Oreochromis niloticus: one gene and its partners. The protein of the gene in region 1 interacts with the protein of each later gene in a pairwise test. Links are inferred from orthologs where the notes say so. Each region holds a gene or a part of one and is shown in the gene's direction. Other genes may lie near its edges.

Region 1 (10,702 bases):
AACGTTTCATGTCCCCTTTAAGATAAGCAGTGTGTGATTTGGCAAAAATGTATGGCGTCACTGTGATGAAAAAGGGCGTTGTGTTATAAAAATAAAAAGTGTGTTGTACAGCTCTCTCTGTGCTCTTTCACGTGATATACTACTCAATATAGTTGCTTGGAATTTAACCTTAGGTGCTTACAATGACACTCAAGGTTAAATGTTAACCCAATCTAGGTACTCATGTCCCCCAAGGCCTAGTATATTGCTGTGAAGTTTGATGACGACCCATTAAAAAATTGTGGGTAATGTAAAGTTTTTACTGATTTTCACATTTTGTGTGACCTTGACCTTGATATTGGCAGACAGCTATAACAGCTGAACGTGATTTTCACCTAAATTAAACAGCTCGAGCTGTTATTGGTATCTACCATCTCACAAAATTTGAAAATTATATCTTGAAAACTGTGGATGCTAGAGTGCCAAAAAGCAGAGATAAATAAACTGAACCGAGTACATACTCTCTCCCTTCGGGTGCACAAAAAAGGAAAACAGGTTTACAGAAAATCTTGTAAAACTTTATCATTCTAAGTTTTGCAAGTGCTGAGAATGTGCACACAGCTTAGGGTGAAAAAGGTGCAAGATTTCCAGTTGAAAAACCTGTAATCAGAAAATAAAAAAATTATAGTTGGACTGCTTTACGTGCTAAATTACTAAATAAATATTAATAATTAAACTCCAGGTAAGAAAGCAGGAAGAAATATAATTTAATCTTTACTGACTGACCTTCAATGGACCGGGGTTCTTCAGCTGCACATATTTCTCCAGAGCTCCTCTGCAGCGCTCTACAATGTGCTCCATCTGAAGGTAGCTGGCAGCCGTCAGGTAGTTTACGATCTCCTCTGGCTTGAACTGCAGGATACCAGTGTAGCAAGACTGAAGCAGATCACACACCACTGTGGAGCTGTACAGCATTGACACCTGGAGAAAAATCAGGAACACAGAAGAGCTTCATTTACTCTGAATAGGAGCCATAATGGCACGTGTGCTGACGTCGGCCTACCTGAAGCCTGGACGACGGGTTGAGGAGGAACTGATCTCTCAGGAAGGGTGAGCAGGCAGCCAGCACCACCTTATGTCCCCTGAACGTCTGGTTGTTACTGGCCACGATAGTGATGTCGCAGAAATGCTGGCGAAATCTCAGTGAATTCATGTGCTTCAGGGTCATGTCCCCATGTCCCGGGAGCCGGAAACACACCAACTCCATCTTCTGAGGAGAAACAAGAATCTGTAGGTGATTTCACTTCTTTAAATACGTACAGGTGAGCCTTTCATAAAAGATTAACAACACAAATCACTTATTAGACTCCCACAGTGTAATGTGATGAGGGTTTAAGAAAGGATATCATATCACAGGTTTGTATTCTGTTTATACTCAAGTGTCCACACTACAAGGTCAATGCTGGGAGCAAAGATTTGGAAACCGAAATCCCAGCAGAGGATTTCGGTTTCCAGCTTGTGCTGGAGTTCTCACTGTGCCAGCAAACACATGCCTCAGATTACTCCTATTATTTGTTAATGTGAGCATATATATATATGTACTAAATGCACAGAGGTTAAAAGGAAGATGATTCAATGGATTTCACAGAAAGATTAAAACTTTTTTACTTATCTAATCTGCCAATCATATAGCAGAAACTAAACACATTTAGACATGTAGAAATGGTCAACACACTTTAGTAAAGTTCAAATTGAGCATCAGAATGGGAAGAAAGGTGATTTAAGTGACTTTGAATGTGTCATGGCTGTGGGTGCCAGACAGGCTGGTTTTGGGAAAATCCCAGTAGATCAGCAACAAGCTCACAGGAAGGCAACAGTAAATCAAATAATGTTACAACCAAGGTATACAGAAGAGCACCTGTGAACAAACATGCCAAACCTCGAAGCAGCAGACCACACTGAGTGCCAAAAATGGAAAACAGAAGATTTGAAAAATGCTGCCTGGCCTTTTGAGTCTTGATCTCTGGATTTGGATGGTAGGTAACAATTTTGTATAAACATGAAGGCATGGATCTATACTGCTTGCCCTTCGGGGTTATCGTCTCCTGCACCTCTGATCTGGCCTCAGCCCAGCTGCTTTTTATGATAACTTCCTGACAGACACTTGCATTGCTCGCTCTTTCAACCTAACTGGATATCCTTCAATACTTTTAAGTAATCAGGTAAAGTCTATGGTTTTTTTTAATGTGCCTGTTCCCGGAAACTTTTCTCTGACTTCAAAGACACACTCATTAAAGATGCTCTTTTATATTGCTGGCTTTATTATTGGATAGCTGAAATGTGATCCAATTATAGGAGTATTTTATGTATTTTTTTTTTCTAAATAAAATATAGACTGGCTTTTTCTGCAGATATTTTGTTTATAGAGAACTGACAGTGACAAAAAGCATTTCCTTCAGCTGCACATTTCATAAAATTCACACACACCTTCGGGTCTCAAAGTGTGTAACAAATGTGGAAAGTGTTACAGATAATGAGATCAAACAAGGACAACGCAATACTGCCTATTGCCTAATAAAGGAAGCTTCCTAAAAAGAACAAAGCGCTGCAGAACAGGAATCAGCTGATGGTTTGTTTGAATAACAAATCTTTAAAGGGGAAATGAAACGAAGACATCAAAGTGGTGATTGTTAATCATCTGCTCCACTGACACTAGGATTAATTATTAATCTGTTATCAAAATAATTCATTTCATTGATTGTTTTTTTGCCTAACAAAAGGCCAAACATTCTCCAATAGTGATCAGCCAGTATTTTTTCTATAGATCTTACGGTTTTTATTTAAGGTGGAAAAAAAAATAAATGTTCTGATACTTACTTGTCAATATTCCTTCTTTTGTTGGGTAACTGTTTCATGCTTAGATCTGTCATTATTGGTGTAAGAGAAAGAAATTAAAATGCCACATGACCATTAAAACCATTAATTTGGCAAATAATTGTCTGATTCATACCTTCTTATCTTCACAAAATCTAACTAATGTGAGTAAACTCCTTTTCTGTAAGACTGAGCTAACAGTTGTCAAAATGATTTATAAAATATAGTATTGTACAAAAGTCTTGAGTCTCCCCTGATTTCTTTATATTTTGCTAGGAAAATGAGAAATGGGTGCAGCGATTTATTAAAATGTATGCAAACTTCCAAGTAGGGCTGCTCAATTAATCGAATTTTAATCTCGATTACGATCTGGGTTTTCAACGATCATTAAAAATGACTGAGCCGGTTTTTAGCACCTCCCTCGTGCTTTACTCTCGCGCTGCTCCGTGTGGCAAATCGAGCGCACCTCTCTGCGTTTCGAACACGCGTCACAACAATTAAGAGGACCCGAGGGAAGCTCGAAAAGCTCGGAAAGCTAAGCAGAAGTTATTTGGAGAGAGGATAATGGCTGCTGAAGAAAGAATGCCGTTGGTTGAAAAGAGAGGTAAAACGACTTCAGTGGTGTGGAAACATTATGGGTTCGCGGAGTCAGACGTGGATCAAATATTGTGCAGTATTTTGAAGTTCACTAAACATAGATGTTTACATTTTTCATTTATTTTTTATATTGCAAACATTTGCACTGTAATCAGTATTTGCACACTATTTTATATTATTTTTGACAATCTTTAAAGCCATTATTCAATACATTGTTATTGTTAAATAAATATCGTCAAATAATCGAGATCTCAATTTCAGTGAAAATAATCGTGATTATCATTTTTGCCATAATCGAGCAGCCCTACTTCCAAGGAAATGCAATAAAAAAGGGAAAAACAGAGCTTGTACATTCTAACAAGCTTGAAAGTCAACATTTGGTAAGACCACCCTGAACTCTCTTAAGCAGGTTTTCTTGTCATTTATTTAAGTAGTCTTCAGGAATACTTCAGGCTTACTAATGGCTTCTTTACAGCCACCTACCCACTGATATAATTCCTGAACAGTAGATGAATCAACTGGGGGGTCAAATGCATCTCTCGGGTCCTCTGTCAGGTCTTTGTCGGACTTTCAGATACTGTCCAACAGCTGCAGATTGTTTTTTTTCCTTCTTTGGACCTCTGTGTCTAGCTTAATCAATTTTTAAGGACACACTGCACACCAAGCCAAGCTTTGCCAAGTCTTCAGCTAGTAACTCTTTAGGAACACCTAGTTCATGCAAAAGTACCATTTTATATCTTTGAAAGTGTTATTTTTGGTACTTTTCATAGATTCAACTAAAAAGAAACAGGAATAAATTATGTGTTAAAGCAACAGGCAGGTAACAAAATGCCTCAAGATAAAATTTTAAATTGGTTCTTTGTGAAGTTGTCTGTTATGTGTAGACACAACAATGGTTCATCCCTTAAGTTAGGAGCCTTTTTTAAATGCTCGAATGAGTCATAGGTCAGTCTTGAGTTGCTTAACAAACAGACGCAAAAAAGTCTGTCAGCAGACAGAGAGTAGCAGATAACAACAGACTCAATAAACTGAAGCCAGTAATGTTGTGGGTGTGGAGTCTCTGACAGAGGTTTCAGAAAGGAGGATACTGTCCCAGTTATGGTCAGTATTGGCCAATCCTTCACACCCTCTCCATCTTGTGCTGGACAGCCACAGGAGCTTTTTCACTCCACCATGATGGACCTCATAATCATTCCTACCTAAAGCCAACGAATATCTCTTCCTTATCACACCTCACCTATTTTCACTTGTAATACCTTGTCTATACCGTACATAATGGGGTTTAAAAAAAACTATTTAAATGTAATATTGCACTTTGGGTGCCTTTTTTTAATATACAGTTTACATTTTCTATGTTTCATGTTCATATTTTAAGTCAGCGATTCAGATTCTTCCGAAAATTCAGTCTGTCTGTCTCTCAAAATGTTCAGATACAAGGACTGGACTGAAAGTGAGTGAAAAAAAGAAGACAACATCCTAATAAATATTTTAAAGAGCATTTCAGAAAGCCCGGAGAACTATTGCTCAAGACCACTTTAATACAAATGACAAGAAAGCCTGGCTCCTATAAAGAAATAACGGGTGGCTCAAGACTTTTGCATAATACTGTCTCTCAAGATAATGACAACAAAATAAAGGATGAAAACTGGTCAATTAGCACAATAAATATGTAGATTAAGAATGCTTCTAGTGGCCAACAAAAAATAAGATCCATGGTAGCCGCAAATCAAACTGACAAAGACAATTGAAAAAAAAAAAATCAGTGTTTTTCAATTTTGGTATAACACCAACTAAGGTTAAGAGGACCTATGGGAGGAAATTATATAATGCTAGCTCACTTTAGTGACATGTTATATTAATGGAATCCACTAACTGATGTGATATAAACAGGCTAATTATATCCATGCTTATCCATGTCATGTTTAGGACTTACAGACCCTGAAAAGTTAGACTGGCTAACATTTGAGCTTGAAAAGCGGATATTAAAAAAGATTACCGTTTCGTGCGTTTCAGCAGTAGCGGAGCCTATAATAAACTAGTAAAGGTGGTTATAAGCTGACTATAACACACGTTTTTTTCCTCTTTTCATTCCAGTCCAGCTAGCTAACGTTAGCCACTCACTAACAGCTCCCTTTTCGTGTCGTCTCTTCTTCTATCCAGCAGCAGTCAAACGAACAAAACCCCCTCAGTTATTGTCAAACTTTGTCGCCTGCTCACCTTCGCCTCTCCTCTCCTTGAATGCCTTGCGGGCTCTCCAGAAAGCAAATCGGGGTTCTTTAAATGAAGTGACCATTAAATGAGGAGATGCTAGCCGAACGGGAGCGCTGTCTGTTCATTCCTCCAGACGACACCAGCTTCTGCCTGGGTTTCTGTTTACTTTTCGGCCCCTTTATTTTTTTCGGAGGGGGGTGTAGGAGGCATACCTCGTGACAACAAACACAAACCGCCCCGTATTTCGCCGCTTAGCTGACTTTGAGTCTGTTTTCGCAAGCGACTTCGCCTCGCGGTCAGCCGTAAAACGACAGCACGTACGCTGATTTCTGATCAGCGAGTTTTAAAAAAATTTATGGGCACCACCCCCCTCCCACCATCCATCGAGGGGGCGGGGCTCCGGCCGTGACGCAGCACGCTCACATACGTTGACGGTCACTGGGAAACATGTCGGCATCTGAGACAACGACAAAGGTAGCTAACGTACTGCAGCTGAAAACTGCATGCTAAAGGAATTTACGTCTATTCGTCTACCTTTAAACTCCCCAGTTTACCGATACTGCATACTGCCAAGCTCCTCTTGACTTTGCATGTCGATTATAATAGCTTTTTTTATTGTAACCTAGGCTGCACTGCTAGCAGTGTTAGCCTGTAACAGTTTTGTGTTACCTGCAGGGTTACTCTTATCCAGATGATGTTTTGCTGCTGTTTTGTATTTGTTGACCAGTAACCTTTGTAGCAATCCTCTGTATAGCAAGTATTGCACCTCGATCTGTTTTTTAGGATATGTTTTTATTCGTAGTTGCTAGTTAGGAGCTTTTTTTTTAAAGTAAATGCTGCACCAACGAGAAATTCACAGGAAAAGAAATTAGGATTTTAAGCAGTCGGAGTTTAAAATCCCGTTTTAAATTCACGTTTCTTTTTGGTGTACTGTTGGAGTAAGGGGTTTTTCTTGGGTCGTGTAAAAAGCATGAATGGAATTACTGACTCATGGCGGCAGTTGATGTAACATGAAAGAAATTTTCACCTATTGGCCGACGGGTTTATTTTGGAGATGTGAAGGCCGAAAGTAGTGGGTTTTATTTTTTTACCTAAAATAACTTTAGAATGACATTAGTGACAGTTTTGATTGTACTGTCAAATGAACAGACACAACACTTTTGAGAATGATGCTCACAGTATCCTCATATCCTTGTCCTGCTGCCCCTGGTTGAGGTCCTGTGTTATTTGTCAGTAGGAAGCGTTTCTATCAAGAGAACTTGCTAGGCCCAAAAATATTACCAGGCCAGAGATACAATGAGTGTAGTGGATCCACATTTAGACCTCTAGAGTGCATGCTTTTACATGTACACTGGTGTGAAAAAGGCTGTCAAAGTCCTGTAGCTGAATCCAATTGAGCTGTTGTGGCAAGACATTAAAAAGGCGGTTCATGCTCGAAAACCCTCCATTGTGGCTGAATTACAACAATTCTGCAAAGCTGAGTGGGCTAAAATTCCTCCACAGCGCTACAAGGAGTTATTAGGTTTAGGGGCCAATACCTTTTTCACACAGGGCCATTTGGGTTTTGATTTTTTTTTCCCTTAATAACAAACAGCTTCATTTAGAAACTGCATTTTGTGTTTGCTCGTGTTATCTTTGTCTTATTATTAAATTTGTTTGATCTGAAACATTTAAGTGTGACAGACATACAAAAATAAAGGAAGGGGGCCAATACTTTTTCAAGCAACTGTATATTTTGCATGCATGCAAATATACAATATAATTTCTTTGTGTATTTATTCTACCAATGATTGGTTGAACTGCAATCATTTCATTAAATCATTAAAATAAGAGCCTGTTCTGTTATCAGTTTTACTCGTTTCACTTGTTTCTTGTTTTGTCCACCAGGAGCACCATGAAAATGACGAGTCAAAAACATCAGAGGAGTCATTAGCTGGGTCAAGTCAAACAAAGGAAGGTAATTCACCAGCTGGTTTATGCAGATAATGTTAATATTTGAAATATATTGAAAGACATTGCATTGGTTTGCAATTAAATGACCTGTGAATGCCATTTGATCTCATATGAGTACAGTGAATTGTCATATTAAAGAAATCAGACTGAGATGTTTTGAGCTTTATGACATGCTGCACATCATTGCACTACCATCAAGCGGCAGATTGTAGCATTATGCCCAAGAAATTATTTCTCCTTGATAAACTTTAAAATTCTTGCACTCCGGATATTCCTCAGATAATGCAGCCTTCACCTCATCTGCTGCTGCCACCAAGACGGAGCCCATGGGTGTTATGTCATCACTGTTGTCGTCCCAGCAGCCCGAGAAGGATGCTTCCACAGTCAGAGAGGAAGGAGAACAATGGTCCCCTGCCGCCTCCCCCCAGAACAAACCTGCTGCTGCAGGTGAGCTCAGATTGCATTAGCTGCTGTCGAAATTCTGAGTTGATTTCGTTGATTTAATCAGACTTAGTTTACAAACTGAGGAGATAATCCCTTTTGCTTTAATTTGTCAGGTCACACAGCAAATTCCCTTCTTTCGACGACCTCTTCGTCATTGTCGTCGTCTCCTTCCACATCTTCGACATTGTCTCCTGGCCGAGCAAAGATGAGCGTTTCAGGGCCTGGTAGCAGTAAATCTGTCCTTCCGCCTGGTCCTCCATCATCCTCCTCTTCTTCCTCTACAACAGCTGCTTCTTCTCCATCTGTCTCCCCTGCACCACCCAAGATCCATCGGGCGCGAAAGACGATGAACAGGCCTCCACCAGGGCAGGTGAGAGAGGAGCTACTCCTGTTTGGTATCAATCATATTTGGTAAATATATGGGTTTTCATGATTTATTATCTAGATTTCTACCAGTTGTTAAAGGTGCTTATTTTAAATTATTGTGTTTTAAAAATTGCTTTAAACCTTTCAAAATGACCTAAAGCTGTCAAGAATTTAAATGCCTGTGGAGAAATCCCTGCTGTGTGTCGAACAGGGTTTAAAACTTGGGGAAATTGGATATCATTTAGGAAAACAATGATATTTTTGTTCCTTTCCAGATTGATAGGCATATCTGGACAGTGTTCCTAAACTTGGAAAGGATCAAAAGGATATTTGTTCTTTCGGTTTCTGCTTCCATCACAAGTTTGGTCTTAAATTGCATTTAAAATGACATTAATATACCCACAAACACGCTTGACTAATTTTGTTCCTCAGATCAGTCAAATTGAGACACCTGTTGCATCTGTGACTCCTTCAGGATCTTCAGCCAGTCTTTCTTCTCACTCTGAACCTGGTCAGTAGGTCTAAACTCACAGTAAAAGAGTTAAATGAGCATTAACTACTGCTTTACTTTAAAACTAAGCCTTGTCATGGTTTGCATCACGTTGTTTTGCCTCTAAAGTTGCAAAGAGGAGGAGGCTGGATCCTTTATCAGACGGCACACCTGAGAGATCTGAAAATGTTTCCGATAACGCTCATAATGAGGTGAGACACTTGTTTTGGGGGTTTTTTGCAGATGTTTTAATAACAGTTGTTTGTGGTCCCTTTTATATCTGTCTCTCATCCTACTTTCAGGAAGGAAGGTCATTCCATAAAAAAGCAGAGTCTGAAACTGCACCCGGAAAGAGCATCAGCTCTGTGGGGAAGTCCGAGGAAGAAGTAGGCGAAAGAATTCAGATTTCTAGTCCGTCCAGGCGAGATTCTGAAAAGGTTTGAAGCCATCAAATGTAAACCCACATTACACTGCTACAGTGTGTTTATCACCTGAACTTTAAGCTAAAGTAAACTAAGCTTTTTTTGTGCTTTACAGTTTGAAGATGGTGAAGGAGAAACAAGACAGCAAGCTAAAGACACAGAGAGGCCAGTAAACACCTCAGATCACGTGAGTAGCTTATTGGCTTGATATTTGCTTTCTTGTTAAATACTCCTTTCCTCATTTTTCTATTAACTTCCTGTTTTATTACTCTGTTTACACCTGTACACGTGACTCTAGCCAGCATGGCCATGCATGTACTCTAGATATGCAGGGTTATCCACATGTCGTGACAAATGTCTTTAGCTCAAATAAGCCATCAGTAAGTTGCAGCGGGATCATTATTAAGGAGTTGGACCACGAAGATGCTGACACACTCATTATGTGTCATTAGACTAAGACACTTCAAGTTTAAAGTTGCTGTCTTGTCAGTAAACCGAGGAATTTGTACTTTTAAGGTAGACGTTTTGTGCTTATTTTCAATCCCATATATTTGTTCTTGGACTCTATAAAAGTCATTTTGCACACTATAAGAGAATCCATGGATGCAGCTCTTCATTATATCTACCAGCAAGGTGTTTTATCTCCCTTTAAGTTAGCTTTCTTCTGATTGGCTGCTCTTCGTATAAACTGGAGTCTTTTAGCTTGAAACTTTAACAACCTCAAAAATTCAAACTTTGGTTGGACTTTTAAAATAATCAGCCACTACTTAAAAACCACACTATTTCACAAATGTTATATTTTTATATTCAGATGTTTATTTTTTATTTATTTTTTATTTGCAGAGTTCAGAGTCTAAAACACAGAGAGTGGTCAGAGAGAGCGAGGAGTCTTCGTGGCCACTGTCCGATCAGGACAAAGAGAGAAACGCGGCTGACGTCGTGGAGACGGAGGGAGGTGAGTGATGTCATCTACTTCCTACTTTCTGAACCACACTCATCTGTCAAAGAGATTGGTAACCTGAAACACGTTCCTTGCAAAAAGAATGATTTTTTTTTTTCAGAAGATTTTGAAAAATCCAGGCTCTTAAAAAAAGCAAATTATTCACAATTAAAAACAATGCACCGCACACATTCATACATCACTTTTATATGCATAGAGGTCTTCAGTCCTTTATAATACACATCGATGCATGCATGTGGAAGGATTTAGAGTCAGTATCTTGCCCAAGGACATTTGCATACTGAAAAAGTTGTGACACAAACCACCAACCTGTCAATTAGTGGAAATGAAGCATGAAGAACATGAAGCAAGAAGCCAGAGAAACATTTTGTGTTGCATATTTGTGACACATTGGCATTAAGGGAA
Region 2 (10,508 bases), on another chromosome or scaffold:
CATCCTGGTGGTGTGTTTGGGGTCATTGTCCTGTTGAAAAATAAATGATGGTCCAACTAAACCAGATGGGATTGCATGTCACTGCAGTATGGTTGCCACAGGTAGAAGTATCAAAAAGTTTCAAAGTTGACAGTATCAAAAATTGAGGGCAAACAGAACAAGCAAGGCCCATGCTGGTTCAGCGTGCCCTCAGTTTTGAATAAATCCCCAACAGTGTCACCAGCACACACCATCACACCTCCTCCTCCATACTTCATGGTGGGAACCATGCATGCAGAGACCATACCTTTTCTGCATCACACAAAGACACAGTGGGTGGAACCAAAGATCTCAAATTTGGACTTATCCGGCCAAAGTACAGATTTCCGCTTGTGTTTCAAAGCCCAAACAAATCTCTTCAGCTTGTTGCTTTTCCTTACTAGTGATTTTTATCTTCTTTTTTTGGTTTCATCTCTATCTATCTATATAGACATATATTTGTAAGAGAACATATATCTGTAAGGAGGACTACCAGCAATGGTGTGTGAAAACTTCGTGAAGACTTACAGAAAACATTTGACATCTGTCATTGCCAACAAAGTATTGAAATGAACTTTTGTTACTGAACAAATACTTACTTTCCACCATAATTTGCAAATACAAAAATTCTTTAAAAATCTGACAATGTGATTTTAATTTTTTTCTCATGTTGTCTCTCATAGTTGAGGAATACCTGTGATGAAAATTACAGGCCTCTCTCATCTTTTTTTTCTGTCATTTAAGTGGGGGAACTTGCACAATTGGTGGTTGACTAAATATTATACTAATATATACAGTGGGTTGCAAAAGTATTCGGCCCCCTTGAACTTTTCCACATTTTGTCACATTACAGCCACAAACATGAATCAATTTTATTGGAATTCCAGGTGAAAGACCAACACAAAGTGGTGTACACGTGAGAAGTGGAACGAAAATCATACATGATTCCAAACATTTTTTACAAATAAATAACTGAAAAGTGGGGTGTGCGTAATTATTCAGCCCCCTGAGTCAATACTTTGTAGAACCACCTTTTGCTGCAATTACAGCTGCCAGTCTTTTAGGGTATGTCTCTACCAGCTTTGCACATCTACAGACTGAAATCCTTGCCCATTCTTCTTTGCAAAACAGCTCCAGCTCAGTCAGATTAGATGGACAGCGTTTGTGAACAGCAGTTTTCAGATCTTGCCTTATCTACAAAGTATTGACTCAGGGGGCTGAATAATTATGCGCACTCCACTTTTCAGTTATTTATTTGTAAAAACCTACTGCAACTGAACAGCAGGCTGGTTTCTTTCCCCTCTCTGTTGTCTACATTTGCAGATCCAAAACCCACCAACAGCAACAAGAAGCAGAAAAACTGTTAGACCGATGATCAGTCCAACAGATTTAGGGTCCTTCCCTTCATCCTCTGTGTGTCCTCCTGTCTGACCTGCAGGTGAGAAACAGGTGTGAGGTGTCAGCTGTCAGGTAGGTGATGAGTGAAGAACAGAACAGAATCCATTTCCTCTTCAAACTGCTGTCAGACATTATCTACTGCACTCTGATCACATCACTCAGACCAGCTGCTTTCTACAAAGTCTCATCAACAACATCTTTAGAAACAAACATCAACAACCAGGAAGCAGCTTCACCTCTGATCACACACACACTCAACTCTACTCACTCAGCTTTTAACCTCTTAACCACCGTCTGGTCTCCAGAGACACACTTATGGTTATAGTTTCACCGAGTACATTTTTTAGAAACCAGAATTTGTGGTTTAATGAATCAGTTTGGCCTTGCAGTTCTTCTCTCTAAGAGTTTTAGCTCTAACTTTAATTTGGTGGAAACCTGAAATACACTGAGATGTTAAAGTTTTTTAAAACTAGTTTTAAAACTATTAGAAAATTGCTGGCATAAAAACATCTTGAAAGAAATATTATACAGAAACAAGTACTAATATTCCCACAAAAAAGAGTGTAGCATGAAAATGGATCACACATACACTCTACTCACTCACCTAGAGGATCAACATCACTCAGGTTGGTGCTGTTGATGAGCTTCCATGAGCATGTTTCATTCATGTAGACCCAACACTCATATATTCCAGGGTCATTATTCATCACATTCTTCAGAATCAAATTCCATAATGTAGCATTCATGAAAGAAAAAACCCAGTTTTGAAAAGATGGATCCTTCTGAATGAACGTGACCATCACGTAATAAACACACATATTTCTCCACCATTGGTTTTATCCACTTTACAAGAGTCATGACTAGGGATGGGTATCGTTTAGGTTTTATCCGATACCGGTGCCAAACCGGTACTTTTGAAACGGTGCCGGTGCTTAAACGGTGCTTAAACGGTGCTCAAACCAGTGCTTAAAGAATGGAGAACACAAAATTGGTCCAAAACCCTCTCATGTTTAATTGTTTTCCACTTTTTCTTTGGTCATTTTAGCCTTTTTGGCCAGGGTGAAGGGAGTATCTGCCATCAAACAAGAAGACAGTAACTACGACGGTGTTTGCTAGTTCACCTTACATGCATTAATGTAATAACGTGGTTAGCGTACTCAACGTTAATTACACACGAACAACATGAAGCTACTCACGCAGAGAAGAACGGCTGCTGCTGCCATCATCATCCTCATCATTTCTGCTACACTGGCAGGGCTAGGGGCCAGGACTCTCCTCTTCGGGTTTTTGGGGGATGTTGCTAACTCCGGGTCCGATAACAGGCACCACACCCGCAGTAGATGTGCACGGTGTGAGGTCTCGCAGCAAGCTATCAAACACAGCGCATTTCTCGGCTTTAAAAAACCCCGCTATGCGTCGCCAGGTGTTTCATCAGATTTGAGGTGTTACCTCCTTTGACAGTATCACAGTATCAGCTTAAAGCACTTGTTGCAGGCTGCTGAGTTTGCATCTTTTGCTGTGAAGTACAGCCAGACTTTTGACCGCTTCTCCTTGGACATTTTTAATCTGTAGCTCTGCTCTAAAAGAACGCGCGTACCTGGCCCCGGCTACTATCCTCGGAAATGTAAAATGATTGGCTAGAATTGGCTCAGGAAAAAAAAAAGCACCGAAATAAAGCACCGAAATGTGCGCTGCTTTTCGGTCTGGTTACTACCGTTTATGTCAGAACCGGTGCCACACCGGTACCCATCCCTAGTCATGACTATATTGTCTGGAGCTTGACATAGCAGAGTGACATTTTGTCCTGTTTCAGCAGAGATGTTTGTCTGAAGAAAATGAAAAGGGAAACAACACAAAGCAGAACGGTTAAATTAACTGTTCACTTCCACAGCAGCCCACCACCGTGAGGCTCACTGCTCAGTAGTATCAGACAGGTATAGTAAACAATGGGCAGAAGAGTTAACTCACTTGAACCTGGGCGCACACCTGTTGCTGACAGACATTTACTTAATCAATACAATGATAACTCTTTGGAGCATCTTGTTTTTATTCTAATTAGGCTTGCACTTTTTCCTCCTTCAGTTATCACAGCTTCTGGTGATAGGATACTGACTGCCTTTAATTTATCAAAAAAAAAAAAATAGCCTGCTATATCTTTTCCTAATTGCTTTTTCTTGATTTGATGGAAAACGTTACGACCACAGGGATATAGATTTGTATTTGCTCGAGGATTAGGCATTTTGGTTTTTCAAAACAGTAGGGCTGCGCAGCATCTCTGTGAAGAGCGCTGTGTAGGCGCTGTTTAAATGCCGTTGAGTGTTGTAAGCCGGTTTAAGCAGATTTCATTACTCTCCGTCCAAAATTGACTGAACATCTGTGTTAAAGTTGCCAAAGAAAGAGTAAAAATGATAATAACTTGAACTCCGTAAGCGACATATAACCTTAATGTCCCTCCTGCCTCCAAATGCAGAGCTATAAAATTTTACTTCAGATCAATAATCTAAAAACAAGATTGTGTGACTTTAATCCTTATGAGTTTAGCATTAGCATTAGCATTAGCATTCCCATATCGATCGAGAAATAAGAATTACTTACTGTTGTTTTGGAATCAGAGATTGCTTTTTCAATCATTTTGAGCAACAAAAACAAACAAAAAAAAACTTCACTGTCACTTTCCCAGAATCTGCAAGTTATTTCAAAACCTTTCTACCGCTCTCTATAAACAAAATGCTGGAAGAGACAGAGCATCGACCCTGTCACATGATGGTGGGGGAGGGGATGGAGGATAGTGATGTGTCGGTCGGAAACGAAACGGCTCTTAGAGCCGGATCTTTGAAGTGAACAACGCGAGCCGTGTTTTTTTTTCTCTCCCATCCTCTCTCTTTTTTCTTTTCTTTTTTCGCTTCACTCTGCACGTGAGCTTTGTGCTTTGCGCTGAGCAGAGAGGGGAGGGGCGGTAGTTACACTCACAGTTGCACAGGAACAGAGCGGGAGGGAAAGAGAGAGAAAGAGAGCCAGGGACAACAACAAGAGACAACAACATCACATTAAAAAGGTATAGTTATTATTATTATTATAACAGTAATCATCCACAACTATTTTCAGTTGCGAATGATAAAGTATTCAAAAAGTTTATTCATGCAGTGAATCCTATGCAATTCCAAGGAGGAAAAGACTCGCCCAAAAATCATCCCAGGCCTATATGACAGAGAATGTGCATCTTCTTTTTGTTTAGCAATGTGTTTTGGAGTTTGCATGTACTTTGTCTCTACAGGCCACCATATATATTTATATATAAACATATATAAATAAAACCACTTTTTTTTAAACATTATTAATTCCTTTTGTGTATAATTTTATATTGTTGCTGATAATAAATTAATTAAAGCAACAAAACAACCTGAAGAGCCGGTTGGGAGCCGAAAGAGCCAGTTCTCTAAAAAGAGCCGGAATTCCCATCACTAATGGGGGAGTGGTCCTATCTCAGTTGTCATATGGCAACCGGGAAAGGTCACCAGTCTGTCACAGAATTTACAATATACTGAATAATATTGACAATTACAGTGATATTTGACATTATATAGCAGGATGTTTTGTTAAAACATCCTGCTATATGTTCCAGACTTCAGCATGGTCACTTCCCACTAGTTAATGCAGGGATTACTGTGATATGACTGAAATCTGTTTAATAAAAATTAAAAATACAATAACTAAATGTTTGATTTTTGTAATTGCTAACAAAGTGTGGCTACTGTCTCTTTCTCCAGCTCTTTACTTTCATATCTTGAGTAAAGAGTTAAAGAGTTAAAGAGTACAAAGAGTTAAATACTGTCTTTAAACTAAAATAGAATAGATTTAATTGTCAATGTTACAAGAACAAGGAAACACAGCACAAATTTCGCCTCCGTGGGATCAATAAAGTCTTATCTTATCTTATCTTATTCCTGGTCCCAGTTGATTAACACTGTGTATTGTTGGGCCCCTTGTTGTGACACTGTGGTGTAGATTGTAGCTTTATTAAATCCTGAGACACACAGAAAGAAACCAGTGATCTAGAGTTTAGAACATCCCATACATCCACCCTCTAATAAGGTATGCTTTTAGCTTACTAGATGGTAAATGTAGAATAAATGCTGGATTGCTGTATTTACAGAACAGTTATGATTGCAGTCTCTTCTCCCAGCTCTTTACTTTTATATTTTGAGTCAATTATTTGGGAGAAAGTGATTCTTTTCTTTTCTTTTCTTTTTTTTTTTCTTTCTTTTTTTTTTTTTTTTACAAAAGAGCTAAAGAAAAACGATTTTGAAAGTTTATTCATGCAGTGAATGCTATGTATGCTGAATGTCAGTAAAAGAACTCACAGTATTAATATTTCATTAGGAAAATGTTAATTGTTTCTTAAATAAATTATGTAAATAAATACTAAATTATGATTACATTTTGGGTCTAATTATAATGATTAAACATCATTATAATTGCAGACATGCAACTTTAAAGCTATATAAAACCTCTGCCGACGTACGCTCTCTCTCCGTTTTTCCATGTCCTCGCTATGTCTCTCCCTCTCCCTCCCTCTCCTGAAAGCCTCAGACGTGGCAAAGATTCACGTACTCCATTTTTCACGAACTTTCTGTGGTTTAGCCCACCGAAAAACGGAGAGAAAAAAAGTTCCCATCTGTCTGCCTCTTATTGGCTGGTGGATTTCCGACTATCTGCGCTGATTGGATACCAGCTCTGTCCGTCAAAGCTGTATCGCGCCATTTCTGCTCTCATTGGCTGGATAGCTTTTTGCGGTTTCTGTCGACTTTATCTTAAAAGTCGGAAAAGGTGACGAGTATCGCGAGAGTTGAGTGCCGACTGAGCGGTGAACGTGAAGAGAGAGGGCTGGGGAGAGAGGAGAAAGAGTGGACTAAAGCTACGGCCTACAGTCTAAAGGGAGCCGTTTCCAAACATCCAACATGTCCTCCTGTTTTCTTCTCTGCTTGCTGTCTCTCGCCTTTTTCCAGGGCGCCGTGTGGGCCGAACAGCGGAAGCTTTCTCCAGGTAAGACCGCTGTGCGGGGTCCCCTGGCCGGCCAGGCGGACCACCGTAACCCGCTGGAGCTGTGGAGCTCCGGGTGGTTTACGGAAAGGCTGCTCATCACGTCACAAACCTATTCACTATTTTCAGAGTTTATTCCGTTATTCTGCTGCTGGGTGAGTTTAGGAAGGATGTTTATTAATGATTAAAACCGTTAGCGCCACAGGACCGTTAGCAAACTTTAACAGGGGTCCCTGCTCCTTTTATAACCTCATATACTCTTATTGTAATCCCTACAGGTTATTAATGATTCCCTAAACTCTGGAAAATCTTAATGCGCAACTTCGTTTCTACTGCGGATACACAGTGTGGTTAACATGTATCAGTTTTAATCAAAGTAACACAAAGGTACGAAGTGCTTCACATATAGGATAAAATTCAAATATTAAAGAAAGTTAGACATCCCCACAAACAGACACACATTCACGCAGGGATGCTTACATCCAGCAGTAAAGATTACAAATCACTGATCAACCCACTCAAACGAGGTTTTACAGCTTCAAATGAAAGCTGGGACTTTTAAAATAGTATGATTGTTTTGATTTAATATTTTACAATCATATAAGAATAAAGAATTTTAGTTAACTGCATTTAAATAAGTCAAACATTTATTGTAAGTGGATTAAATTAGTTTTAAAAAGCCACTGTGGGAGCCCACAGCATGTTTATGTAGCAGGATTAATGATTTCCATCATGAACCTCTCACGATGATGTTTTACACAGAATAAACGTTTTTAAAAAGAATAACCGGTTTAAATCTGATCTGTGTTTTCCATATAGTCCTGTCTTTGGTGCCCCTGTGAGGTTTGTTTGCTCAGCTGTGGTTTGTATTCATGTTTATATTACTTATGTGATGCGTTTTTAAAGGGAGCAGAGTGAGACATGGGACACTGAGGAGGAGATTTCCTTCTTGTTGTAAACCTTTTTTAAAAAGTTAACAGACACTCGGATAGTAACAGAAAAAAATAACTGAACAAATGAGGTTTTTAAATATTGGACTGAAATCTGAAGCCATTTTCACTCATTCATGGGATCCAGTTTAAAGACTTATTTTGCTTTATCCTGAGATTAATTCATTCATCAAATCAATAATCAGTTTTACAGGTTCTTCCTCCTTCAGGATCTTTGAGTATGGCTGCTTGTTTGTAGTTGAGACACAGACGCTACGTCCAGATGAACAGAATCAACTTTTGGAGATTGAGACACAGTCAAACCGAAGTCCTGTGCACTTTCCTCATATTTTTGGTCTTTTGATACATAAAAGTGAATTCTTTGCTTGCACTTTTATCCCAGTCCTGATGCTTGTTCTTCAGAGGAACACCAGGATTGTTATATTTTAGTAAAACCCCTTTTTTGTATATATAAAGAAGCTGTTAAATTGTTAATAATAGATAATAAGCTGGTGTTTTAGCTCATCTGAATGCTTCAGATATCTGAGCTCACAATGAAGTGTCTCAGTTTTTCTCAGGTTCTATGGCACACAACACAGCTCAGCTGAAGACGTATTTCCCTAAAACACCTCAGACAATCACAGACACAGTGAAGTTAACCCCGAGAGGCTGTACCTCTGTCACAAAGTGAATTTGTGAACCAGTGAGAACATCTTACTTAAACTCGCCTTCTTCCTCTTCCTCTGGGAGGTCGTTGTATATCTGAGCACTTCCTCCATGTTGTGCTCAGCGTCTCTGAATCTGACTTATGACACTGAGCATGACGAGTTTCTATTGGCTGAACTTAACAGAGTTGGTTCTCGTTATAACTGCAGTCACAGAGTTTGTGTTTCATCAGTTTTTATTTATTTTTTACATTTCTGTTAGAGACTTTTATAGGAGTCATTTACAATGTTGACTCTTCTTCATAACTGCTGCAGATCTCTGTGGCTGTTAGTTAATCACAGTTTGTAGGCTTCTGTTTGTCCACCTGCTTTTTAAGCACTGATCATAGATTGTGGATCAGATTAAGATGTGTCCATGGGCCCAAGATGTTAATTTGGGGATCTCTCCGAGGCTCTGTGTTGTCATGTCTTCTGACATGGTGCTCCCATCAGGCTGGAAGATGCTCCTGGCAGGTTGGAAGAAGGTGGTTTTTAGTGTGGTCAGTCCTTAGAAAGCTGAACAGGGATCAGCTCAGAGCCCAGATGAGGCCGTATGGATCTCCATCAGCTGGGGTTTGTGCCACTGATGAAAATCCCAGCTGAAGTCTGTCGCATGTGGAACTTGAACTGCAGGTTTCCGGTGTGAACCCCTCCAGTCTGCAAAATGGAAAATCCTTTGTGTACATGGAAATGGTCGGTAGTAGGACTGCCACAAACGATTATTTTGATAGTCGACTAGTCACCGATTATTTTTGCGATTAGTCGACTAATCAGATCATGCATCCATTGGATGTAAAACGTACAGCTTATTGCACCAGCATGCATCTGCTCTTATACAACTATCATTAGCTTACAGCTTTAAGTGTTTAAGGTATGTGCTAACTAAACATAAAGACAAGATGAGAGTTTATTAAATTTTAATGAAATTTGCAGGTTGTTTAGGTGAAGTTTAATAAATTCAGCCGTCTGCTCCTTGCTAGGTAAAATATAACAGGACACCGGAGTATATTCTCGAGCATCTCACACTTCTGATAATCAGTTGTCTGCTTGACGTTTATTCAGCTGTGTAAAAACTAGAACTTTAATCTCAGCCAAACTGATTTACTCGAAACAAATAAAATACTGACAAAAGCAAAACGATAACATTTTTAAGTTATATAAGTGACTTATATATCATGTTTAACCCGAGTAGTGAAAGACGCCCAGAAAAAAATGTCTGGAAAAAAAAAATGTCCAGATAGGTTTAACTTCAAACACCTGAACCCAGCAGGTAGTTCTGAACAGTCTGTAGGCCTGCATGCTTGCATGTGTGAGGCTCTGAACAGTTCTGCTTGTTAACACTAGCACAGTAACATTATGCAAACATTATTTGGACAAACATTAAATGTTTATGTTGATATAAACTTCATGTATTTCCTTCATATGGGCCATTCCTGTGAAACGTTTCCTCCTGACCCCCTCACAATCAGCTGTAGTACCTTCATAGTATGAACTGCTTGTGTTTAAACCGATAACGTGGAAATGTCCTGAACTTATATAGCTAAGAGGGCTATAAAACGAGTAAAAAGTGCCACATTTGGGCCAATAGTTCTTTGTACTTTGAGAGCCTGTAACTCTGAAAACACTCAGGTAGAAAATTTTCTGGCTTCATTAGAAGAAGAAAATCCCCAGTATTCGATGTTTAAGTGTCCTACTTGCCCTAAAAAACATTTGATCAAAGCTGAGAAAGAATCCAAAATGTGTTTATGATGTGCACGCTGTGCAAACTGATGTGAAAATGAAAGGAATGAGCCCACTCAGATCTGCTGCTTGGATCTGTAACATTCTCCAAGGCTCCACATTACTGCCCACATCTCCAACCTGGTGCTACAGATTCAAATCAAGGAATGGAAAAAGGAAGTCTCCTGAAGCCATTTTTATAGTTTCATCATGCGTGTCAGGAACATATTTCCATGAGAGTCGGCAAACACACAAACATCTTTGTAAGGAGCGAAATATGAATTCAGCTCATATTTGGTTATGGAAATGATTCAGTATAAACATGTAGGGAAGACCTGGGCAGAGGTCACTTTATGAATCGTTTGTCAGGATGTGACTCGGTTTCGCTGGCGCACACCTGCTTTTGTCGTTCATTCATTAGGAAAGCAGCGTGATGAGGAAAGAGACAACAAACCCCCACAGCTGTGCGAGTACTGTCGGGGGGGTTGTTGTCTGACACTCGAGCCACAAACAGGAAGAAACATTCCCACCATTCAGCCTCACATGAGGATTCACACTTATTCCAGCTACAGACTTCCACAGCTGGAGCATTTATTTATAGTTTCAGAACTGATGTATTTCATTTGAAGTTTGCAGAGGATGAATTTAGAAACGTGAAATTAAAAAACAAAAAGATATTTATCAGTTATTTAATAATTAA
Region 3 (10,038 bases), on another chromosome or scaffold:
TGTTGGTATTTTCATGTACGCTGGTTAACGTAATGATAACCAATTATTGTTAAATTATTCAATCATTGAATCAGTAATAACCAAATTTATTGGATTTGGTTACACAGAAGAAGACTAGAACCAACCACAGTCTTGCTCAGTGTGGCTGGGGTCAGACCCAGTGGTCTCTATGAGTAACATCCACAGTTAGTTTGTTGAGATGAGGAACTTTTAGAAAAAAAATCCCACCAATCAGCCGACCTTCTATAAGCAAGCACTTGGTGACAGGGGGAAGGAAAAGCTCCCCTTTTAACAGGAAGAACCAGAATCAGATGGAGGGGCAGCCGTCTGCTGTGACTGGTTGGGCGTGACATACTCCACCAGTCTGACTTCTAAAGGTACCTGACAGCCAACGGGGAGTTAGCCAAAAGGTGCCGAGGACCGTAGGTTGGGCTGAAGATTTAGAACAAGTTTTTCTATCAGGAGATCTTGGAGTAGTCCAATCTGATCCCAACAAATCTCGTCGGAGGCCTAAAAACTGAAGTTCACCAGCGCTCTCCATCCAACCTGAGGGAGCTTGTTTCTTTTTGACTGCACAATAAAGACACCAAAGTCAGTTCACTGAACATTGATGCTAAAGACATTATTTCAAACAAACCCGCAGTGTATCTTTGACGGCTTAGAAAATAACCATCAGTACTTTCAGCTGACTAGAAACAGTATTTATTCAAAGCACCAGGTCCAAGTTCTTTGTGTTTTTCAGTACTAAGCTGGTATTAGCTGGTATTATTCATTGATCAGAGTTATAGTGATAACAGAAATGTTCCCTCTCATTTTCCACATTTTGTGCAACAATGTTCGCTCAGTTGTGAGAGGAAATAAACCACAACAGAGATAAGTGAAAAGGGTCAAAGCTATATAATAATAATTTAATTTATGGATGTTATTATTATCAATCAAATGTAGATACATTTATTGTGCGACATTGCTTTTCTGAAAACAAAGCTTTCAGAAATGCTTTCCCCACATGACATTACAAGTGAAAGCCTTTCATTTCACTTTCATTTCATTAGAAAAGTACATGAGGCTAACTTTCTCTGCCAGATAAACAACACTTTATCCTCACGATGCTGAGCAACATCACTGTCAGTGCGGCTGAGACAAACAGGGACTGTTTGCAGTGTTTGGAAACACAGACTTGAATATAGACTAAATCAATTAGCCAATAATTTGCCAACACCCAGGCTTAAGAGAGATCATTCTGCACAGAAAGTGAACTCCAGTTTTCCTGGAGGATTTTATTCTTTCATTTCATTACATTTCTACCCATCTGCCATTGCAATATGGCCGTGACAGCCAGCAAATCACGCCTCAGGGTGGCCATGCCAAGCTGACTAGCCGACTGTAAGCTGGCAGGCCGATCTCAGTGCAGTCCAGTGAACAGGGAACGCTGGGATTTGTTTTACATAACGTGTTTTTGTAAAGTATGTCATCACTAGTCTTGTTCGTGTTTTTTGGACATGTTGGGGACAGAGCTGCTTTGAGAGCTTGATGTAGATGGTTAAAGGTGTCACTTTCAGCACGCCCACACCTCTGCCGTTCCCCTCAGCTGTAACCAGGTGTTTTGACACTTTGTTTTTCAGCCCACTTTAGTGCTTTTCACGCACAGCTTTTTTTTCTTAACGTCACAGATTCAAACAGCAGTTTGACAGTCTACAAGTCCCTGGTGTGCAAAAAAAAAGGATAATGGAGCCAGATGTTTCTCTCAAGAGATGATGAGGAAAAGAAAAATGATTATTTTGCTTGAATTTGGATGGAAAAGTGATGTGGAAAATGATTTTATATGTGTCTAGTGTATGTTTTACCATGTTAATCTTTGTACTGTCTTGTCAGTCAATGCAGGTTTAAATAGTTTAGCACTTACAGGTATCAGTGGGTCTGGCAAGAAGCTGTGTTTTTACCTTTGTAGTATTTTTAATACAGTTACCTGACAAGTGTTGCTTCCTGTGCGGTTATTTGTCCTAACAGACCACCTAAAACATCAGTCCTCAAGATTAAGTAAGTGAAATTTTATTTTTTCTTACTCGGCACTAATTAGCAGGTTCACATGTCTGTGACAATAATAGTAAGAAAAAACAAAACAAGACAGCATGGCGGTGGCCGTAGTACTAAAATTAAGATTTCAAAGCCAAGTTTCACAAACCTACAGGTGATGTCAATTTAGGTATTTCCATCTTTTATATACAGTACTGTGCAAAATCATGAGCCATCCCTCATTTCCTTATATTTTGCTAAGAAAATGGGAACAATTTATTGAAATGTGCAAACATGCACCAAAAATTTAAGTAATTAAGGTACAAAACAGATTTTGTACAGTTCTAATTTGATATTACCTCCTTCAACACAGTCAGTCTTGTCTATACTTCAGTAGTCTTCAGGAATAATTCTCTACTTTGGATGTCGGCTGCCTTTTGTTCCATTTTTGTCAAGATGATCTGACTCTGCTCTGAGGAGGCCAGTCCATGACTGATTCCCATTTGTTCCTTGTCCAGGTTTCGTATTTATTTATTTTGAGACACTGCACATAATGTGGAGATCCCAAATATCTGTCCAAAAGCTCATTGAAAATCACCTTGTTGTACAAAAATATAGTTTTATGCCTGTCAAACTTGACATTTTTCATTTCATTCATTTGTTACCGTTTTCTAAGAAATGGTAACAAATGTAAGAAATGGTAACAAAAGTAAGAAATGGTAACAAATGATGCTGCACAGAGATGCTTAGTAACAAAGTGCGATAATATAAGATAATATTTAATATTCGTTCTTTTGCTAAGTCATCAATTATGTATAGACACAACAGTGGTTCATCCCTGGAGTTAGATGCCTTTTTTAAAACCCTTTTTTTAGGTGGAAGACTTTTGCACAATGGTGTTAAAGAGCTGTACAGTTAAAGTTAAGAAATACCTCTGCATGTTTCCTGAAGGTTACCATAAATGCAGAGCTGACATTTGCATCAAAGGACTGGTGCTAGACCACCAGTTCAAGTAATCCTCTAAATTTGTAATTTTGCACTGGAATATAAATAAAAAAAATATTTCATTAAATACTTGTATGATGTATCTTGTACATGTAAACGCTTTTTTTTGCTTGATTTTAAAGTTTCTTTATGGCTTCTTTTCCACCTCCTCTGACTGCGATGATCTATGAGAACATTCATGTCGCAGCACAGATTCACTGACCTTAGTACACACTCAACAATCCACACACCCCACAGAGGCTTTTCTAGTAAAATGGGCCGCTGGACAAAAGCCAATGAAAATGGGGATGTCAGCATTTTGGAGTTTTTTTTTTTTCCTCAGTCTCTGCTCTCATGTGATCTGCCCTGCATTTCCTTCCCCATTGTCACAGCAGAGGGCAGTTTGGGACATTGCTGTCAGGCCAATTTCACTTCCAGGCAGAAGTCTGATAACATGTCCTTTCTTCCAGGGCTTTAGGGTTACAAAATAATCAAAAGTTTGAGTCGAACAATGAAGGAGGTGGATTGAATAAAAGAAACAACGAAACACCATGATAGCAGGACCAAGGCCCTCTGATAAGTGGATTTTTCTGCATCGCAGTTCTTCGTTACTTTTCTTGCCTTTGGTTTCCAGAAACTCTTATCAAATCCTCCATTCATTTAAAAATCTTTTCACAGTGAAGAACCTGCTTTTAAAATTTACAACAAAAATATGCTTCAAAATATCAAAAAAAGAAACAACACATGCTGCCATCCAGATTACGCCTTCTTTAATGGGATGCTTTGTTTATTTTAAGTGAGACAATAACCAAAAGGATTCAGCATGTACTTTTCATTCATTCAGCATAAAATCATGAATATTTAGGAGCTGAAATCCAATGGAATTAAATGGAAATGGAAACTTCTAGATGACACCTTCTTTCTTTTTAAGTATTTTTTTTTCAAACTGTTGTTTAACCTGGAGAAAAAAAAAAAATCATGTTTAAATGCCTTCTCCAAGAAAGACATCAGTTCAGTCAGAAGAAGTGGCAAAAATACACACAAATAAATCAAGACTGAGATTCAAAAGCTTCCAGCTTATAGCACTTCATTGGTTAATTAAGTTAAGTTGCATTTTTATCAGCTTGACACAATCTGGTCATTCTCTTCTGATCGCTCCAGGCAGAAGAAGGTACAAAGGAACTTTAAGATTCTTGGGACCGAAGACAACCGCTTCCCATACTTTTCTGACAGATGCAGGTCACTAAGTAAGATGACCTTATTAGTAAGGATATGATTATATGAAGTCTTTAGAAGGACAAAGTAGACCAACCATCCATAACATTCAGCACACAGAGGTGAGAAGGGCTTTAAAACTCACAAATGATGAACCAGAGATGTATATGACATGTTTGTGAGCGCTGTGGATGCTACAGGTGGATTTTGTCATCTGTGGACAGAGCCAGAGTTACTGTCTCAAACATATATTGAACTATTCCTTTTAATAATCGAAAATGTGTTTAAAAGGTTTTATCCACTAAACCTTTGCTGAAGTTAGAGTTTGGGGGCATTTTCACACCAGTAAATAAAGGTCAGGGCTCAAGGTCAGATTATGAGACCAGAGTTTAGATTGTCACTTTTTTTCCCCCTTGGGAGACAATACAAGACTGTGGCGAGATCAAACAGCTTTGAGAACTCACAAGTTGGATATTTATCACGGAACAGAGAAAATATCTGAAAAAAAAGAGACAAAAAGTCAGTGTCAGAGGAACAGACCTCTGACGTCAGTGCCAGTGTTTTGTGCTCGGCTCATCATGTGACTCTTACTCAGTTAACTTCAGTGTGGAGCGCACAAAGCCCGACGCGTGTGGAAAAGAGGCTGACAATGAAACAAAGCTCACGTTCAGCACCGTGTCTGGCCATGACACTTCACTTTAATGCGCAACCAGCTCTGAAGGTTAGTGCGACTTTTCTGCACACGTCCCTCCGCTAACAGATAACACCTAACAGATAAATATCTGCTGAAGTCCTCCTCGCCCCTTTCATTTGTGTTGATAGTTCAGGAATGTGTTCATGCATGTGGAATAATGTTGGTTCAGCAGGTGAGGCTGCCTGTTGTTTGTTTGATCCAACTTTTCAGGCTTTTCATCTCGAGAATGTCAAGCATGAGTTCTCAAAACAAAACAGCTTGCTCCCTCTGCACCCCTTTTTCTCCACCCAAAACCTGTGGTGACTATTTTACCAGCAAACCCCACGTTCTTGCAGAGATAAAGAAATAAACGAGTTTATGCGGGGTGTATATGAAGCCTCTTGGCAGCTAACGTGGTCAGCTTCTTCCCCCTTGTGGTGGGTTTGGGTATTGCAAAAGCATGAGGCTCTAAGAGGAACTTAATCATCTGGTTTCATTATGATTTTAAGTAGATTGCTAAAAGGCTAAATACTAAATTAGATGCAGGCCACTTTAGCACAAAGGAAGTTCAAAGCATTACAAAGTATTTAAATGCAGATTTTAACATGGATAAAACTGAGTGAGAACTTGACTGGATTTATGGAAATCCCAGTATATACATGAAAATGACCAGAGTGCGTCCAGCTGCCTCATGCCTCACATGATGTCTATTGTTGTTCACACCTTCTCAGTATTGTTTTCCAGGCTTCCTGCGATCAATCCCCTGCTTGTGTCACTCTGACTCACTGTCTACATTTGCCGTGTCCTGTTCACCTTATGGAGCTTAAGAGGTTTATTTATCATGGTCAGCTGTAGAATGAAATCACCTTGTTCACTCTGAGTAATCAAAGCAAATTTACTAGTACAGCAAAAATAGATTTTTGATGCTTGATGCTGAGCTGTTTGCAGTGAAGTGCCGCGTGTTGAAATAATAACATATTGGAGCACGAAGAGTACATTTACAAGGAACAGTTTAGGCCTGAAAAATGATCAGTGTAAAAACGGGAAAGACCAGCAGAAGGTTTTTGGTTTATCTGTTTTTTAGGATGGGCGTAGGTGAAGGGATTAGCACCTTTGGGCCCGGGATTTGAATCTGAGTGGAGTTTACATATTTTCCCCATGTCTGTGCTGGTTCAAACTGGACTTCCTCCCACAGTTCAAAAGCATGTCGGTTAGGTTAACTGGTGATTCCAAATAGACTATGAGTGTGAATGGTTGTGTTTCTCGGCCCTGAAATGGACTGGCAACCTATCCAGGGTATAACCTGCTTCTGGCTCTATGACAGCTAAAATAAAGTGTAAAAAAACAACCCTCTGCATTTGATATTTTTCACTGTTTTTTCACTGTTTCACTTTACTACAGAGATTCCTTATATTATTGTGACCAGTAGCAGCACAGTAAACAAGAGTAGCCCACATATTTAGGGCACATATTTAAAACAACAACAATATTATTTGCGTAGCACTTTAAAAAAACACCCAGTTACAAAGTGCTTCACAGTTTGGATAAAACAACACATTAAAATAAGCCTGCAAAGCTCTCATTAGGACCTCATAGCTACCAGCACAGTACCAGTCTTCATGCTAAAATAAGCATGATGAATGAATTATGCAAAATGTGGAATGATTTCTTTTTAAATGCACATCCTGACTGGTTTTGATGGACTTTTTCTGATCGTTTAATGCAAAACATGCTTGGGCAGTCACGGAAACCCATTTAAGAGCCTATTTTCCCAGAAAAACACCACGCTGTCCCACTGCAATAATTTTCACCCACCTGGTAATTGTTTGTGATTCAGTGCAAATGCAGACAGTGTGATTCTAACCAGTATGCTACCCAGAAGTGAGATGCGTCAGATCACACATCAAATCTGCCAAAGCGTCCAAATGAACTCAGCGCCAGTGACGCACTGTCCGAGCCCCGTCGCCGCTCACTCTGAGTTTAACATGGGGCGGATGGAGGGAATCACTTTAGAGGATTAAAACTGTCATCTGGTTGGATTACAGCGAGCGCTTACCTGCCCATCTGTCACCTTCAAACTGTGGCAGACAGACTACCTTTGGATAGTGGAGGCCTCAATCCAGCCAGACAGACTGAAACCATGACACAATTGTGTTGGATGTTTGGAAGTATGCAGTGCCTTCATCCTGTGTTATATGACATCTTCTATTTGTAAAGAAGTGCCCGAAAACTCAGTGCATGTGCAGCTTTTCATTGAAAACCCACCTTGGATTCATTTTTAATAAAAACTCAAGGGAAATTAGGCAGTATAGAGACTTGGACTGATCAATATCACTTAATCATGAGCTGTAGGTGACACAGGATCTTTAGGTTGCAGGTTATTATTATTAAACAGATTAGACCCATGTACAGAATGAAAATGGTCAAAGTGCCCACTTAACTAAAGAGCTACATTAACACTTTTAGATTACATTACATGTACATGAATACATCAATCAGATAGATGTTCACAACCTGGCAACCTGAATGCTGATATTTTCCCCCCTCTTTTCGTTTAGCATTAATCATTCAGGAAATAAGATGGGAATCAAGAGATTTTAATAACCATGGTAAAGGTAATGTTTGATAATACAGCCCATGACTAAGGGCGTAATTCCCCTGTAACTAAATGTATTTTATTTGAAATTACAGTATAATAATATTTAACTACAAATACTTAATTTAGGCACACTGGAATTAGGGGGTACTCCGGTTTCCTCCCACAGTCCAAAGACATGCAGTTAGTGGGGATAGGTTAATTGGAAACTCTAAATTGCCCATAGTTGTGAATGTGAGTGCGAATGGTTGTCTATGTCTATGTGTTAGCCCCGAGACAGACTGGCGACCTGTACAGGGTGTACCCTGCCTCTTGCCCCAAGACAGCTGGGATAGGCTCCAGCTTCCTCGCGACCCTGAAAAGGATAAGCGGCAGAGAGTGGATGGATGGAATAAGGGGGTAACAAGTCAGGTTTGTTACCCCCTTACCTCCAAGCCCTGAAAGGTACAGTGTGCTAACAGTGTAAGGTGGGAAAATATTGGTTGTTTTTCTGTGAAATGACTGTGTACTTAAAATTACTTACATTATAATTTGTCCCCCTTTCTGCATAATACCCAGAATTTAGGCATTACATAAAGTTACTTACATTACAATTAAGTATGAAGAACGTTTTCCACTACGTTTGCACTCCTTAAAATTATGCAGCATTTGAAATTATGTACAGAATAATTTACATCTCCTTTCCTGTCATATACCTTAAGCTATACAATATTTCAAATTAATCAGGCACTACTTAAAATGAGGTACACATTATAATTACTTAAAGATTAATTAAATTTTCTTGCAATAATAATAATAATTTTTGCTTCCTGTAAAAATCTGATCTATTACCCCTTATTCTAATGCACCTACCTTTAAGTATTTGTAGATAAATATAATTGCATTGTAATTTAAAATATAATACCCTGATAAAGTGTAAAGTGTAAAGTGTGTTGTGTTAGTCCCCGAAGGGAAATTACTCCTCTGCATTTAACCCATTCACCCAGTGAAGCAGTGGGCAGCCACCAATGCAGCGCCCGGGGAGCAGTGTGTAGGGACGGTACCTTGCTCAGGGGTACCTCAGGGTAGCCGTTCAGTGGAGTCGAACCCCCGACCTTCCGATCATGGGGCAGACACTCTACCTACTGAGCAATTTAATTACAGGAGAATTAAGTGACAGGCTGTATTATAAAGTGCTACCAATTATTGTTCATCATTCCAGTGAAGGAGCCGTATATATTTTCTAAAAGTGTAGAGTCTATGCACTTTAAACATAGTTTTGCTTGGTGTAATAATCTGTCCTGTTTAAAAAAATTCCCTTCGTAACTTATTTACAGAAAAATACTTCCTCTTCATTTTACAGCGCCTTCACAAAAACGCTACAGAAACACAACGAAGTGCTGCAGCATGTCATACCTCTTTCATATGATGTGTGTGCTGACTGCAGATTTAAGACAGACTTGAATCATGTGAACTTTTGTTCTCCTTGTTCGCACTGTCTTTATTTCTCTTCCAGGAAACTGGTGAGTGGAGCTGACCTGGTTAGAGATGCACCACACCTGATCAGGCAGGGCTCAGGAGACTGTGGCTGAGGTCCAATCCAGCCAATGCACCCTCCCCCTACACACTTTCACTCTATCTGCACGGAGGAATGGTGCCCACAGTGCAGCTCTATCTGTCTTCAGCTGCCTGGCCGACTGAAAAAGCTCTTTGTGTTTTATATTCATACTCTTACGCAGAGACAGCATACTTATTCACATGACAGATTTACTTTCTTACTTTAACACTGCATCATTATTTAGATTGTTATGTAGTTTTGAGGCACATTGTGGCATGCATTTAAGAAAGAACAGTTTCATGAGTTTTGAGCCTTCTTCCTGAGCTCAGCTCATGTTAAAATGCTCAATTTTCCACAAAAATAATCAGTTTTTTAACTCACCTGGTGAAATTATTAAGGCTTATTATTGAGAGTGTGTCATCTTTGACAGACTGGTGGATGCCGATACAGGTGTCTATAGCTACTAGATGTCTGCTTTGCTTCACTTCTGCTAACTGGAATAACTGCGTTGTGCTTTTGTTTCCTTTTGGATTATTCGTTATGCCTTTATCTTACAAATAATACCGTTTTCTGTGCCATATTGTTTGCCATATAATTGTACTGACTGACTGCGTAAAATTCTAGGATTTTATTTGGATCTTACTAATTAGCAGGTCTCTGGGACTGTGTGATGCATCCATATGGTCTCTGGGTGCAGCTTGCTAAACCATCTCATCTCATCTTTATCTTTAATCCTCATGGCATGATGGGAAATGCTATCCCTTGATACGATGTTAGCTTAAGGTGTGATTTATTGTTAACAGTCTCTCCATAATCTGTGTTCTGCCTGAAGCCTTCTCCTGTAAAGAAGGAGTTCTTCCTCCCCACCATTGCCAAGTGTTGCCCACAGGATTCTTATGAATAAATTTTGAGTTTTCATAGCTGGCATCACAACAGCAGCGGTATCGTGGTTAGCACTGTCAACTCTCTGGGGGCCCTTTCTGTGTGCAGTCTGTGCATTATCCTTGTGCCTGCATGTTT

Evidence for each region.
Region 2: the proteins of ehmt2 (region 1) and plod3 interact in binary tests that used the Homo sapiens proteins (3 or more experiments, as listed by UniProt). The two-hybrid records come from large-scale screens. The link is inferred for Oreochromis niloticus from reciprocal best matches to the Homo sapiens genes EHMT2 and PLOD3.
Region 3: the proteins of ehmt2 (region 1) and rd3 interact in binary tests that used the Homo sapiens proteins (3 or more experiments, as listed by UniProt). The two-hybrid records come from large-scale screens. The link is inferred for Oreochromis niloticus from reciprocal best matches to the Homo sapiens genes EHMT2 and RD3.

What each region holds. Positions count from the first base shown.
Region 1 is NC_031985.2:15,479,980-15,490,681, reverse strand, and holds the start of ehmt2 (histone-lysine N-methyltransferase EHMT2), read left to right. Parts: upstream 1-6,018; 5' UTR 6,019-6,108; coding exon 6,109-6,135; intron 6,136-7,548; coding exon 7,549-7,618; intron 7,619-7,893; coding exon 7,894-8,061; intron 8,062-8,171; coding exon 8,172-8,428; intron 8,429-8,856; coding exon 8,857-8,935; intron 8,936-9,043; coding exon 9,044-9,126; intron 9,127-9,216; coding exon 9,217-9,351; intron 9,352-9,451; coding exon 9,452-9,523; intron 9,524-10,179; coding exon 10,180-10,291; intron 10,292-10,702. Other genes in the region: zinc finger and BTB domain-containing protein 12, read right to left, coding at 766-960, 1,043-1,246. UniProt on the Homo sapiens protein: Histone methyltransferase that specifically mono- and dimethylates 'Lys-9' of histone H3 (H3K9me1 and H3K9me2, respectively) in euchromatin.
Region 2 is NC_031967.2:75,610,218-75,620,725, forward strand, and holds the start of plod3 (multifunctional procollagen lysine hydroxylase and glycosyltransferase LH3), read left to right. Parts: upstream 1-6,233; 5' UTR 6,234-6,374; coding exon 6,375-6,459; intron 6,460-10,508. UniProt on the Homo sapiens protein: Multifunctional enzyme that catalyzes a series of essential post-translational modifications on Lys residues in procollagen. Plays a redundant role in catalyzing the formation of hydroxylysine residues in -Xaa-Lys-Gly- sequences in collagens.
Region 3 is NC_031980.2:13,525,213-13,535,250, reverse strand, and holds the start of rd3 (protein RD3), read left to right. Parts: upstream 1-4,778; 5' UTR 4,779-4,933; intron 4,934-8,976; 5' UTR 8,977-10,038.